2 linked regions of the Arabidopsis thaliana genome follow. The protein of the gene in region 1 interacts with the protein of each later gene in a pairwise test. Each region holds a gene or a part of one and is shown in the gene's direction. Other genes may lie near its edges.

Region 1 (6,527 bases):
TAAGATTGTCCAAATTTACTTTCATCTCTATAATTTCTCATAAATCAATGAGAAAACCAATAAATCCAAATATATTTATATAAACTCATGTATGATGTGCTTACTTTCAAACTAAAAACAACAAGGGAAATATTTCAAGACCCTGTGTTAGTCAAAAGTACAGACAAACGAAAATTAAACTTCTTCAGTAGCAACTTCAGAAACCACCTCTTTATATTCCTTAGTCTCTTCATCGTACCTGTACCTGCACGCATATTTTGTAATCAAACACATAACCAGAATTGAGCTGATAATCGAAATTATGAACACATGAATAAAGAGATTAGTAATGGGTTTTCAAAATTCTAAACTCATCCCAAGTAAATTTTACCATTTTCCGGTTGTTGCGTAGCAGTAAAGTCCAGTGTTCGGGTCATAATAGTAACCAAGGCTGCTGCTGTAGTAGTACCTGCAAAACCATTTATAGAATACTTTTAGATAAATAAAATTGAGATTCATAATGAATATTGCTAGCAACACAATACTTCGGACAAAAAGCTGACTTATGCAACAAGAGAGCGCGAGAGGAGAGTATATACAAACATACCCTGAAGATTCATCAAACACATAATCAGAATTAAGCTGAGTGCCCGAGATGGAGCTAGACGGTTGTAGATCAGAGGAAGGTTCAGGAGCATTCTCATCATCGCCAAACATATCACAAGATACTATATTGGCAGTCCCATTTTCTTTCGCTTGAGCTAGTCTCTCATATCCTTCTAAAAGACCAACATAGAGAAGAAGAATGTGAAAAGTCAAGCCAATTGTTCCCGAATGTTGTGAAAAGGTGATATCACAAAGCAGAGGAAACGTAGCTACATCTACAGCTGATATTGAAAAAGTATTAGAATCTCTAACCTGCTTCACGTTGGAAAACTTCTTGCTCCTCATGATAAACATCTTCAATACATAAAAAGAGGAACACATATATTAACAAATGGAGGACATCATATTTGTTGTTGAAGTAGCATAAGTTATTAGAGACTTACTGTAGTCGCCGTTCTCGATAAGCTTGTCCGCATCCTCAGTAAGCTGATCAAAGATAAGCTTGGTCTCAGATGTCATCTTCTCCTTGCGATTATTCGAATTCCCTTTCAACCTCCTTAAAGCTCGCAAGACCTGTAACATGAAACCGATTTATTTTACGTGTTCGAAGTATGTATAATCAACAATGCTATATTAAGGTGACATTTTTAACTAATACAATCCATGTTTCATGTTTGAAACAAAAACTTGTTAAAACGCAGAATGAGTCTCACCGTTTCTCCTGGTTCAAGGACATTAGCAATGCGCCTCTTTCTAACTCCGATTTCATCTTGAGAAAGGTCATCCCCTGCTTTTTCGTTCCCACTATCATCATCCATCTCAGTATCATTTGCAGCAGATCGTCCCATATACATTGGATTTTTTTCAATACTGTCAAGCCATGCATCCTGAAAGAAAACACATATAATGAAAGACAATACACAAGATATCTTGGAGCTAAGCTTTACAATGAAAGATGTGTACCTTGACTTCCTTTTCTCTAACATATTCTACAAAGTTCCCATCAGCATCAAAGTAACCTTCTTCTTTCTCTCTGTCCAGACTAAAAGCTTCAATCTGGATCCCATCTTCTGTGCGATTGCCATCATCCTACAATGAAATAAATCACATCAGCATAACTCTTTTTGCAAACAAACATCATTGAGATCTCGCAATATACACAATTAGCTTCCAGGAACAGTCAACAAACAAAAAGAGGATAGTAGAAATCCTACCTCATAAGTCTCCTGAGCCTGATTAATATCATCACTGTCATCTTCGATAAAGAGCTTAGTAGTATTCTGATTGCGAATCTTTGCACGCTCCTTAGCAGCATCACGGGCTTTGCGGCGGGCTAAAGCTTCTTCCTCTAAGAGCTGTTCAGGTTTCGACTTCTTCCCCTTTGGAAACCGTACTCGCTTTTCGCTGCCAGAGAGAATCCTCCATTAGAATCCACATTATAGCGTATGCACACAAACTCAAGTTGTAACTGAGACAAATTTCAAAGCTGATTAATACTCCAAGTTCAAGACAATCATATGTTTGGCATTCAATTTCAGGTTCAATGTCTAAGTCTAACAAAATTGAGGAGAAGAGAGAATCAGATGGAAGAAACAAGAGCTACTAATTCAATTTTTCCTACCCTAAAACTGAGTCAATCAACCGGAAACGAAAAGAAGAAACACGTATCGTCATGCTTAGCAGAACAAAATTGGAAATTAGGGTTTTCGGAAAAGATTGTAAACTTACGGAGGTTGTTTATCGGAATCTTCATCTTCTAAGAAGGATCGTTTAAGGTTCCTCCTCGACGAACTATCTGCCATTGCACAAGCGTTAGACGAGAACAACGACGATTTGTTTATTTCCAGGCGGTGAGAATCGCCGTCGAGGGGAAATAAGACGAAAGCATGAATTCTCGCCGACGTTTACAAATTGGGCCGTATTAATGGGCTGAAAAATGGGCCTTAAAAAGCGCGCTTAACGTTTGGAATTACTATGTCTGTTTCCTTTAATTTACCGGTTTACTTTTTTACCATGGTTAGACTAAAACGCCGCCGTTTTGGCACAGGCCCTAATTTATGGGTTCTCTCCTTAATTGGTGATCATCCTCCTTCTCAAGCTGTTGGCCGTCATTGAACTTGGAGTCACAGGTCAGCTTCTGATTCTTAATTCTGTGAATTTTTCGTTTCAAAATATTAACCGAATACTTGAATAATCGTAACTAAATATTCTTCTGGGGTTCTTTTTATTTAGTCGAAGTGTTTGAATTCAATTGCAATGGAGCAGAAACCACCAGTACGGAAGGTTTGTGTTTGCTATCATCGTTAACTTCTCATGTTAGATAAAATATTTGGCTCTGCTAAATTTTCGATTTTGCGTTCTTCTGCAGATGAAGTTTGCCCCAAAAGCTCCACCCAAACGTGTGCCAAAACCTGAAGTTAAACCGTAAGCAACACTAATGACTGATCTGATTAACATAAACAGATGTTTTTCTTCTGAAACTTTTGAATTATGAATGCAGTGAAGTGGTTGAGGATAATAGTAACAGTGCACAAGCATCGGAATTGCTACGCAGAGTTAATGTAAGCTTTTTTTTTTTAATCGTTGAGTGAAATTGTCTTTGCTCTTGTGTCTTCTTACTTACTCAGTTCTCTTTAATTTTGATTTTTGTTTGCCTTAGGAAAGATCATTGCGCAAGCCAAAAGCGGACAAGAAAGGTAGTGTCTTTAACTTGAAACTCAGACTCGTATCTTTACTCTGTTTGCTGCTACGTTATCTAGTTGTAAAAAAAAACATCACTTTGATACATCACTGATTTAGTTTTTGTTATGTATCATACAGTTCCTGCTTCTCAAGTTGCTTGGTTGGGGGGAGTGGTGAATTCAACCAGATCAAATAAGTACCTCAATAGATCAAGTAACAATTTCTTTTCTTTGTTTAAAACATAGGCAATTATATATTTTAACAAAAAAAAACATAGGCAATTGTATTCACAACACATCACAAGTTTTTGATAATTCTGCGGGGGTGTTGATACATGCTGGTTGTTGTGCAGATGGTGCTTATGGATCAACCTCTACTCAGGAGATAGAGTATAAAGAACCATGGGTCGGTATAACAGTACCCTGTCCCTAAAGTTATATCTCGAACTCATATATCGATAATGTTGATGCATAATTAATTCTTGGATTGTCTCACAGGATTACTACAGCTATTACCCTATCACACTTCCAATGAGGAGACCGTATGCAGGAGATCCAGGTATTCATATATTTGCTTGAGAAGAAAAATAAAACAATTTTGTGAAAGCAGATTCTTGATTACCATTTGCCTATGTTTAAGATGCTGCTCATTATTGCAGAGGTTCTTGACGTGGAGGAGTTTATGCAGGCTGGAGGACATCATGAAGATTCACTTAACACAGCCGCTAATCTCGGTCTAATGGTTAGTGACATTACATATAAAAATTCGATAAACCAAAACTCACACGCAAACTCTATAGTTACATAATGTGGATCACTTGTTGGCAGGAGGATAGTGGAGAACAGAAAATGTTTTTTATGAGGCTACCTTCTGTTCCTTTGGCATCAACACCAACAGAAAACCTTGAAACAAGGCCAAATATCAAAGGCCCCGTTGAGAAGAAGACTGTTGATTTAAAAGCCTTGCCAGAAGGTTACATGGGCAAACTGTTAGTCTACAAAAGTGGTGCTGTCAAGATGAAACTTGGGGAAGTGCTTTATGATGTGAGTGATTCTTTTTCCGTTTACTAAGTATTCTATGACCATAGATCCTGCAATATGGTTTTTACCGGGCATAATACTAGCTAATATCTAGTAGGGGTGTTCAATCCATGTTTTTGGTTTTACGGGTTTGGTTCGGATACAGAAAAAGTGAAACCATTTTAATCGTAGTAAAAGTCTAACTCGGATTTGTGATGGGATGTTGTAGGTAAGCCCAGGGTTGAAGAGCGAGTTTGCACAAGATGTGATGGTGGTTAACACAGAGCAGAAGAACTGTTGTCTGGTTGGAGATGTGTACAAGCATGCAGTTTTGACTCCTGATATTGATTCAATCTTGAAAGATATCGAAAATATATGATATTCTTTAACTATTTTTGTTCCATCAATTTTTTCATTCTTTCTTTTTTTTTTTTGGTAGTTTGTTTTCATTCTTCTTCATTCATAGTTTTTTGACATTGAGAAAGAAATAAAAAAAGAGTTTTGTTTTACTTTCAAGTTTCAATAACAACAAGAAGCAGGTTTCTACATTTGAAGTTTGAACCAATCCCTTAAAATCTCCAATACAATGGAAAACTGACCCACTGGAATCATTGTATGCAAAATCATTAATAAAAATTACTATATTTAATATTTAGTCTTTAAACATATAAACCCAATATAGTTAAAAAGAAAATCTTGGCATTTGTTTTCTTGGTATGAATGGTAAGTTTTATACCATTTTTAGAATTTTGACAGAAGGTTACAGCAGGAAAAAACAAAGATAAGTACATTACAGCAAAGCAAAGTTTGAATACAAATCCTTCTACTTTAAGAAGAGAGTTTTAAGAAATTACATGGTCATTTTTCTACCTTTTTTTTCTTTTCTTTTGTATTCTTCTAACAAATCTAATCATTTTGGTAACAACGTTAATCTCGATGATAGATTTTAAAAAATATTTTGACCAGAAAAAAAGAAGAAGGAAAGAACTCTTAATATAGGATAAAATCCAAATAAAAATGAGCAAGGATCTTTACATTGAAAAGAACCAAAAAAAATTACGCGTTACACATGACGTGTACACCAAAACCGACGTCGTCTCTATCACTTGAAACCCATATATAAACACAGCACATTTCACTCATTCTATCACAACTCTCATTTTCTTCTCTCTCGATTCTTGATATATCAGTAACCAAAAACACAGAGAATTAAAACATGGCTTACTTCTCCACAGCGACATCTCTTCTCCTCCTCGTCCTCTCTGTTTCCTCTCCTTATGTTCATGGAGCCTCCGACTGCGACACCCTTGTGATTACCCTGTTCCCATGTTTACCTTTTATATCGATCGGGGGTACGGCCGATACACCCACAGCTTCATGCTGCTCCAGTCTCAAAAATATTCTCGATACGAAACCGATATGTCTATGCGAAGGGTTGAAGAAGGCACCTTTAGGAATCAAACTCAACGTTACTAAATCTGCTACTCTTCCCGTTGCTTGTAAACTTAATGCTCCTCCGGTGTCAGCTTGTGATTCATGTTAGATTTCTCCTTTATCTCTCTGTTTCTCGTTTTTCTTCTTGATTTTTTTATGGATTATTTATGATCCTTAAGATAAATCAGATTATGGATTCATAATAGAGTTTTTGTTTTGTTTTGGTTGCAGTGCCTCCTGCTAGTCCTCCTACTGCTAATGGGCAAGGTATTTGTCTTTCTTTTTGTTGATTTCATTCTTTAATCTGCTTTTTATCATGCCATCTAAATTGTTATTTTTTGTTAAGGGAAATGGAATTTGTTTGGACTCTTTGCTTGAATCGAGTTTTGGTTGGCGTTATAACGAAGTTGGGGAATTGTAAAAGTCAATTGTCTTCATAATAAGAATTTAGTCTTTTTCCGTTTTATGTATCATGTGACCATCGCGACAAGATAATTAAAGCTTGTGCGGATGTGATCTCTATTGTAATGTGCCATGATCATGTAATATGAGAAGAGCTTTATCAAACTCTCTATTTTGTTAAACTTTGACATTTAGTTGTGTGATTTCTCTCCTCGCTGCTTTAAAGGTGTGCATGTCAGAATTGGTTTTGTGTTTTTGACTTTTGTCTTGTTATGTTTGTGTGACAGCTCCAGTATGGGGATCAGGATGGGCTCCAGCTCCAAGCCCTTCTAAAGGAAATTCATTGATCCCAATCTCTGGCTTTTCCTTTGTAATCGTTACCGCATTGGCCATGTTCCGTATCTA
Region 2 (6,094 bases), on another chromosome or scaffold:
ACTTGTAGGTTCCATGCATTCTGGGTGTAAATCTATCAGATGTTGATCTATTAGAGTTTCTTCAGCAGGTACACTTAGAATCGTGTATACACACATGGCTACTCTTTTCTTTTTCGTACTTTAAATTCTTACTCAACGTTTGCAAACCAGCTTGCTGATACTGACGGATCATCAACTATTCCTCCATCTGTTCTTCGAGTCCTAAATTCCAAAGCCTGTAGAGGTAGTATATTCCTTATCTCTTCAGAATTGTTTTGTATGTGCAAGGATGAGTAAGTGACTGCCATTCATCACTTAGTTTCTCGGCTGATACTGTGTTTTTCTTACAACTGCTAAGGTGCAATTATGTTTGGAGATAGTCTGTTACCGTCAGAATGCTCTTTAATCATTGATGGACTGAAGCAGACCTCACTTTGTTTCCAGGTGCGTAAGAAACATCAAATCCTACCAAAGGAATTCATCTCTTTAATCAAATTAACCCATTAAGTCTGTGTACAGTGTGCTCATGGGCGACCTACAACAGTTCCTCTTGTCGATTTGAAGGCATTGCACAAACAGATAGCAAAGCTCAGTGGAAGACAAGTGTGGCATGGCTTACAACGCAGAGAAATTACACTTGATCGTGCAAAATCACGCTTAGACAACGCTAAAAGTTAAAAAAGTTGCAGCTGTATCATAGCCTTCCCAGGTTGCTATACTCTTTAGTCATACTGTAAATCTTCTACTTGGATGTATAGTTGTATTACTCAGCAAATAACTACTTTCTTACAGTACCCGTAGACAGTGTAAAGCTTTTATAGGTTAATAGTACTACACTAGAGAGTTTGTAAGCTGATATAACTCATTGTACTCTTTGCATTCGATTTAATATGTACAAAAGAAAAGTTCATTGACAAATGATATCCAAATGTTCACCACTCAAAGAGTTTTTTTCTTTTTTCTTTTTTTGTGTCAAGTCAATTCTCCCATTACAGAACATATTGTGTGATCATCTTCCAAACAAAACTGCCAACAACAAGTAACAAATCTACAAGTTCTCTAATCACAACTGCAGTTAACTAGATACATCATGTTCTTCTTCAGCTATCGTTTCACTTTGGTGGTCTGTACCGATAGCAGCACACAATGCTTTCCAAATGGGAACCAACATCTTCAATGGAGGACGCAGTTCCTGTCCAAAGAGGAAATTGAACTCAAAATCAATTGCTATAAGTAATATTCCCGAATTGAATAATTGGTAACTCTAGATTGTTTCTCAAAGTTGTCAGCAGAAGTTTTTCTCTCACAATGTAATGAAACAAACTGGTGCCATTACCTTAAACACCAATGTAAGTTGTTCTTCACCACGAAGAAATAAAGAGAGACTCCAGTAACACGTAATGGGAGTGACACATTCGACCAACACAGGCTTCAAAATCTTGTCAATAGGGATAAACCTGGAGACAGTTTTTCCACTGCAAAGCAGAAGCATGCACAAAAAAGTAGGTACTTGTATGATTGGTAAAACTTAAAAGCATAGATCATAATGGTTCATGATAATTACAACAAATTCAACCATTACCACCTATCTTAGAGACCACTAATACGGAGTAGTTCAAAGCATTAAGCCATCATGGAGTGCAGACAACAGAATACTAACTAAATGGATAAAGCATACCTTAAATATTGAGTTTCAAGTTGGATCCCGAAGGTTGGCAAGATTATCACAGATTCTGAAGAAATCAAAGAAAAGCTAGAATTAGTTAAAACGTGAAGCTGATATCATTTGGTAAGCCTGTAAAGCGTGTATCAGGATGAACCAGGATCTCACCTTTCTTGACGAACTTGCGACTATGTAGCATAACCAAGAAACCACTTAAAAGGCAGCCCCAAGAAAGAGTTCTAGCTGGATTGTCCTGTTTCATGTGAATTATCCCTTTCAACTTAAGTGAAGAAGAAACAAATGGAACAACAACAAAACAAGCTTGTAAAGTAACACAAAAAAAGAAAAGTGCTTTTATACAAACCTTGTCATGTATTAACATAATGCTCACAACAGAATGAAAATATCAAACTATACTCCATCACCAATCCTAAGAAACAAAATGGTATGCCTTTCTCATGATATGTACTAGCAACACTTGTTCTAAGCAATGCATCAGAATCACTCAAATGTCAAGCAGATTCACATCAAAATAACAAACGGCAACAACCAAATTTTCTCTAAGAGCATAATTACCTTTCCAAGCAAAAAGTACATAGAACTCGCCAGAAACACAAGGAAGAAACCAAGCCCCCAACGACGGGCATAACCAGTTCCGCTGCTTCCGTTGATAATCACATGGTGAATATCAATGGCTTCTCTAGTTGACTTACTTCCACTTTCGTGTATGTAAGTGTATCTCTTATTCGAAACAGACAAGCTCACCATTTCAAAGCTAGTTTAGTTGAAAAACAGTCAAATGTATCACCGTCGTTTTACTCCCAACTCATATACGAACCTGCCCAAGGTTAGCTTTCTCAATACCCAAGTAACAATTTTCAAACTTTGAGTCTCAGTCAAATCGGATAGCAACAAAACTTCTCTGCGGCTTTCCGTCGAACACCATGCGTGCGTTATAATAACCCCTCTTGAAATCTCATAAATCTCTCTAACTATCTCCACACAACTTCCTCGAAAACACAGTAGCAATCTATCAAAAAGGACGAAGCAAGGATTCACCCAACGAACGAAAGCCACAATTCTTCGAATTGATCAAATCTGAAACCGGCTTCTCTTACCGGTAAAGAGATAAAAGACGGCACTATGGTGGAGGAGACAACAAAAAGCCAAAAGAGAGAAAATAATACAAACTGTGTGGCGTCCTAAATAAAACACCCTGGCGTTTTTGTTTTATTCATATTAACATCATGCCGTTTTCATCTCGACAATATAAAAACCTAGCTTATTTTTAAGGAAAGGTCAAATCTTAATTAGTTTTGATTTCTCTCTCCAGTACTTCTCGATTCGCCGGCGATCCGAATCTCATTCTTCTGCTTGTCGGAAAAAAAAACCCGTAATTTAAAGTGTGAAGCTTTCGGTTTGAATCATGCGTTGCAAGAGATGCAATGGAAGCAACTTTGAACGCGACGAAGACACGGGGAATTCGTATTGCGGTGGATGTGGGACATTACGAGAGTATGATAATTATGAGGCACAACTTGGCGGCATAAGAGGACCTCAAGGTACATATATACGAGTAGGCACCATTGGTAGAGGCTCTGTTCTTGATTATAAAGACAAGAAGATCTATGAAGCCAACAATTTAATTGAGGAGACAACAGAAAGATTGAATCTTGGTAATAAAACTGAAGTGATTAAGAGTATGATTAGTAAGCTTACTGATGGGGAATTTGGACAAGGTGAGTGGTTCCCTATTTTGATTGGAGCTTGTTGTTATGCTGTGGTAAGAGAAGAAGGGAAAGGTGTTTTGTCTATGGAAGAGGTTGCTTATGAAGTTGGATGTGATTTGCATCAGTTAGGGCCTATGATTAAGCGTGTTGTGGATCATCTAGATTTGGAATTGCGAGAGTTTGATCTTGTGGGTTTGTTTACCAAGACGGTTACTAATTCACCGAGATTGACTGATGTTGATAGGGATAAGAAGGAGAAGATAATAAAGCAAGGGACTTTCCTGATGAATTGTGCGTTGAAATGGTTTTTGTCGACGGGGAGGAGACCAATGCCTTTGGTTGTGGCTGTTTTGGCGTTTGTTGTTCAAGTGAATGGTGTGAAGGTAAAGATTGATGATTTGGCGAAAGATGCTAGTGTTTCGTTGACTACTTGTAAAACGCGGTATAAAGAGTTATCTGAGAAGCTTGTGAAGGTTGCTGAAGAGGTGGGTTTGCCTTGGGCGAAAGATGTTACTGTGAAGAATGTTTTGAAACATTCAGGAACTTTGTTTGCTTTAATGGAAGCCAAGTCCATGAAAAAGAGAAAACAAGGGACTGGGAAAGAATTAGTTAGAACTGATGGATTTTGTGTGGAGGATTTAGTGATGGACTGCCTAAGCAAAGAATCTATGTATTGTTATGATGATGATGCTCGTCAAGATACTATGTCTCGGTATTTTGATGTAGAAGGTGAACGTCAGCTTAGTTTATGTAACTATGATGATAATATATCGGAGAATCAGTTGTCTACAAAGTATAATGAATTTGAGGATCGAGTTTGTGGTGGGACTCTTGCGAAAAGAAGTCAGGGAAGTAGTCAGAGTATGTGGCAAAGGAGATCTGTTTTTGGAATGGTGTCAACTGAAAATTGGTGGAAAGGGAAATCGGAATTGAGTAAAAGGCTTTTGCTCAAAGACTTGTTGGAGAAAGATGTAGGGCTTGAAGCTTTGCCTCCTTCTTACATAAAGGGTTGCGTTGCAGTTGAAAGACGAAGAGAAAAGATTAAGGCAGCTAAGTTGCGGATTAATGCAATACAACATCCTTCTGACAATGTTAGTGAAGGTGCGTTGTCTTTGGAGCTTGAACATAGCAAGAAGAAAAGGAAGAAAGGATCTGAAATTGATTGGGAGGATTTGGTTATACAGACTCTGGTCTTACACAATGTGAATGAGGAAGAAATAGAGAAAGGCCATTACAAAACTTTGTTAGACTTGCATGTTTTCAACTCTGGAGAGGTTTGAATTGAAATGTTTTTCTCTTGGAATTTTTTTATTTCTTACAGTATAATTCATTTAAGGATGTAAAAATCGTTCTGAATGCAGAAATTATCAAAGCAAGCATCACAAGACGATTCAACAATCCATGTAAATGTTTCTCTGAAAATGATTAATAAGATAAACTACTTGTTTCTTTAATAAGCCCTGAAAGAAACAATTTAAGAAAAACAAAAGTCTAATACTGCTTATGACTGACTACCAAATCCATTTCATTGATCTCTCTGATAATTAGAAGTTTCCTCAGCTTGTATTCAATCAGCCTGACATGCCATAATCTTCAACATGATCATAAAGGTTGTAACTTTCCGCCAGTCCCATCTTTCCAACAAGATGCTCATCCCCTACAAACACAAATCACAAGAAATTATCTGAGACAGACACAACTTACTTGACTATTTCTTCAAAGCCAATGTCTCTGTTTTTTTCAGTTACGTGTGAACTAAAAAGGTATCTTTGTTACTTACTTGGGTTTGATAGAACATCTAGCAAGTGAAGGTCTGAGCTAATCTCAGGGCTCTGAAAGCAAAGATCTTCAGGCCTAGGAGCAGTAGTTGTTGCTGTTGTTGTCCCTAACCCATTATTGTTGCTATTTCCATCTGGAAGACCAAGAAGACTCTCTGGCCTCACTACTCTCTTCTCATTCAATGCTTCAACTTCAGTCTCTACCTCAGACTCACCATTATTATTTCCAGAAGAACCTCCACCATGCTGCTTCCTCTTGGATCGAGCACGTCGGTTCTGGAACCAGTTATAGACATTTTGTTCAGCAATCTGGCCGTGTTGGCTCAGCTCTTCTGTTATGTCTTTGATCTTCTGCTTGCTCGGTGTTCCCGTGCCTTGATCGAATATACGTTCCAGAATCTGAAGCTGGACTGGCGTAGGAGTCCACCTCTGTCTAGCTGTCATCTTATGACCTAAAGATGACATCATTGGGTCTGCATATAGTCCTCCCATTCTCCCTCCTGTTACCAACAACAGACAAATGAGCAGAGTTGTTAAAAGTTAAACTAAATAAAAAAACTGAAACTTTATATCTCAAGAACACATCATCAAGCTAAAAACACCTATTTTGGTGGGAAATTCTCGAAGCTCAATTGAAAGATTCAAAGGAGTGATTCTAGAATTCCTCAAGAACCATTATTTTCCTTATTCTTAGCTCAAAAATCCACGAAAAGGATTGGTCTTTGAATCAGATTTAAGCCAACAAATGCTTAAAAGGCAGAGAATTTTCAATTACCCATACACCAAAGTGAAGAAGAATCACTAAAAAATCAATTAAACCACACAAAAATTCTGAATTTTTTTAAAAATTTCAAAAGGAGTCCTTTTTTTATCTTTAGATGAACAGAGAAGAAGAAACTAAATGATAGAAGAAAGGATAGAAACCTGCAAGATCTTGTTGAGCA

What was found.
Region 2: the proteins of AT5G09380 (region 1) and AT4G35540 interact in a two-hybrid assay, tested with the Arabidopsis thaliana proteins (one study listed by BioGRID).

Annotation. Positions count from the first base shown.
Region 1 is NC_003076.8:2,909,451-2,915,977, reverse strand, and holds AT5G09380 (RNA polymerase III RPC4), read left to right. Parts: upstream 1-2,653; 5' UTR 2,654-2,714; intron 2,715-2,817; 5' UTR 2,818-2,841; coding exon 2,842-2,868; intron 2,869-2,953; coding exon 2,954-3,009; intron 3,010-3,085; coding exon 3,086-3,146; intron 3,147-3,244; coding exon 3,245-3,281; intron 3,282-3,370; exon of another isoform or gene 3,371-3,392; coding exon of another isoform or gene 3,393-3,405; coding exon 3,406-3,480; intron 3,481-3,619; coding exon 3,620-3,672; intron 3,673-3,764; coding exon 3,765-3,825; intron 3,826-3,925; coding exon 3,926-4,008; intron 4,009-4,094; coding exon 4,095-4,310; coding exon of another isoform or gene 4,311-4,337; exon of another isoform or gene 4,338-4,515; coding exon 4,516-4,665; 3' UTR 4,666-4,801; downstream 4,802-6,527. Other genes in the region: AT5G09390 (CD2-binding protein-like protein), read right to left, coding at 175-244, 371-448, 587-758, 898-939, 1,029-1,158, 1,299-1,472, 1,549-1,674, 1,800-1,989 and 1 more; AT5G09370 (Bifunctional inhibitor/lipid-transfer protein/seed storage 2S albumin superfamily protein), read left to right, coding at 5,503-5,824, 5,952-5,987, 6,410-6,527.
Region 2 is NC_003075.7:16,870,871-16,876,964, forward strand, and holds AT4G35540 (POLLEN-EXPRESSED TRANSCRIPTION FACTOR 2), read left to right. Parts: upstream 1-2,964; 5' UTR 2,965-3,068; coding exon 3,069-4,652; 3' UTR 4,653-4,728; downstream 4,729-6,094. Other genes in the region: MLH3 (MUTL protein homolog 3), read left to right, coding at 9-68, 151-223, 338-423, 499-657; AT4G35530 (phosphatidylinositolglycan-like protein), read right to left, coding at 1,055-1,171, 1,316-1,454, 1,658-1,712, 1,811-1,895, 2,219-2,410; WOX13 (WUSCHEL related homeobox 13), read right to left, coding at 4,944-5,029, 5,153-5,650, 6,075-6,094. UniProt on the Arabidopsis thaliana protein: Plant-specific TFIIB-related protein that plays important roles in pollen germination and embryogenesis, possibly by regulating gene expression through interaction with TBP2 and the subunits of RNA polymerases. Binds double-stranded DNA in vitro.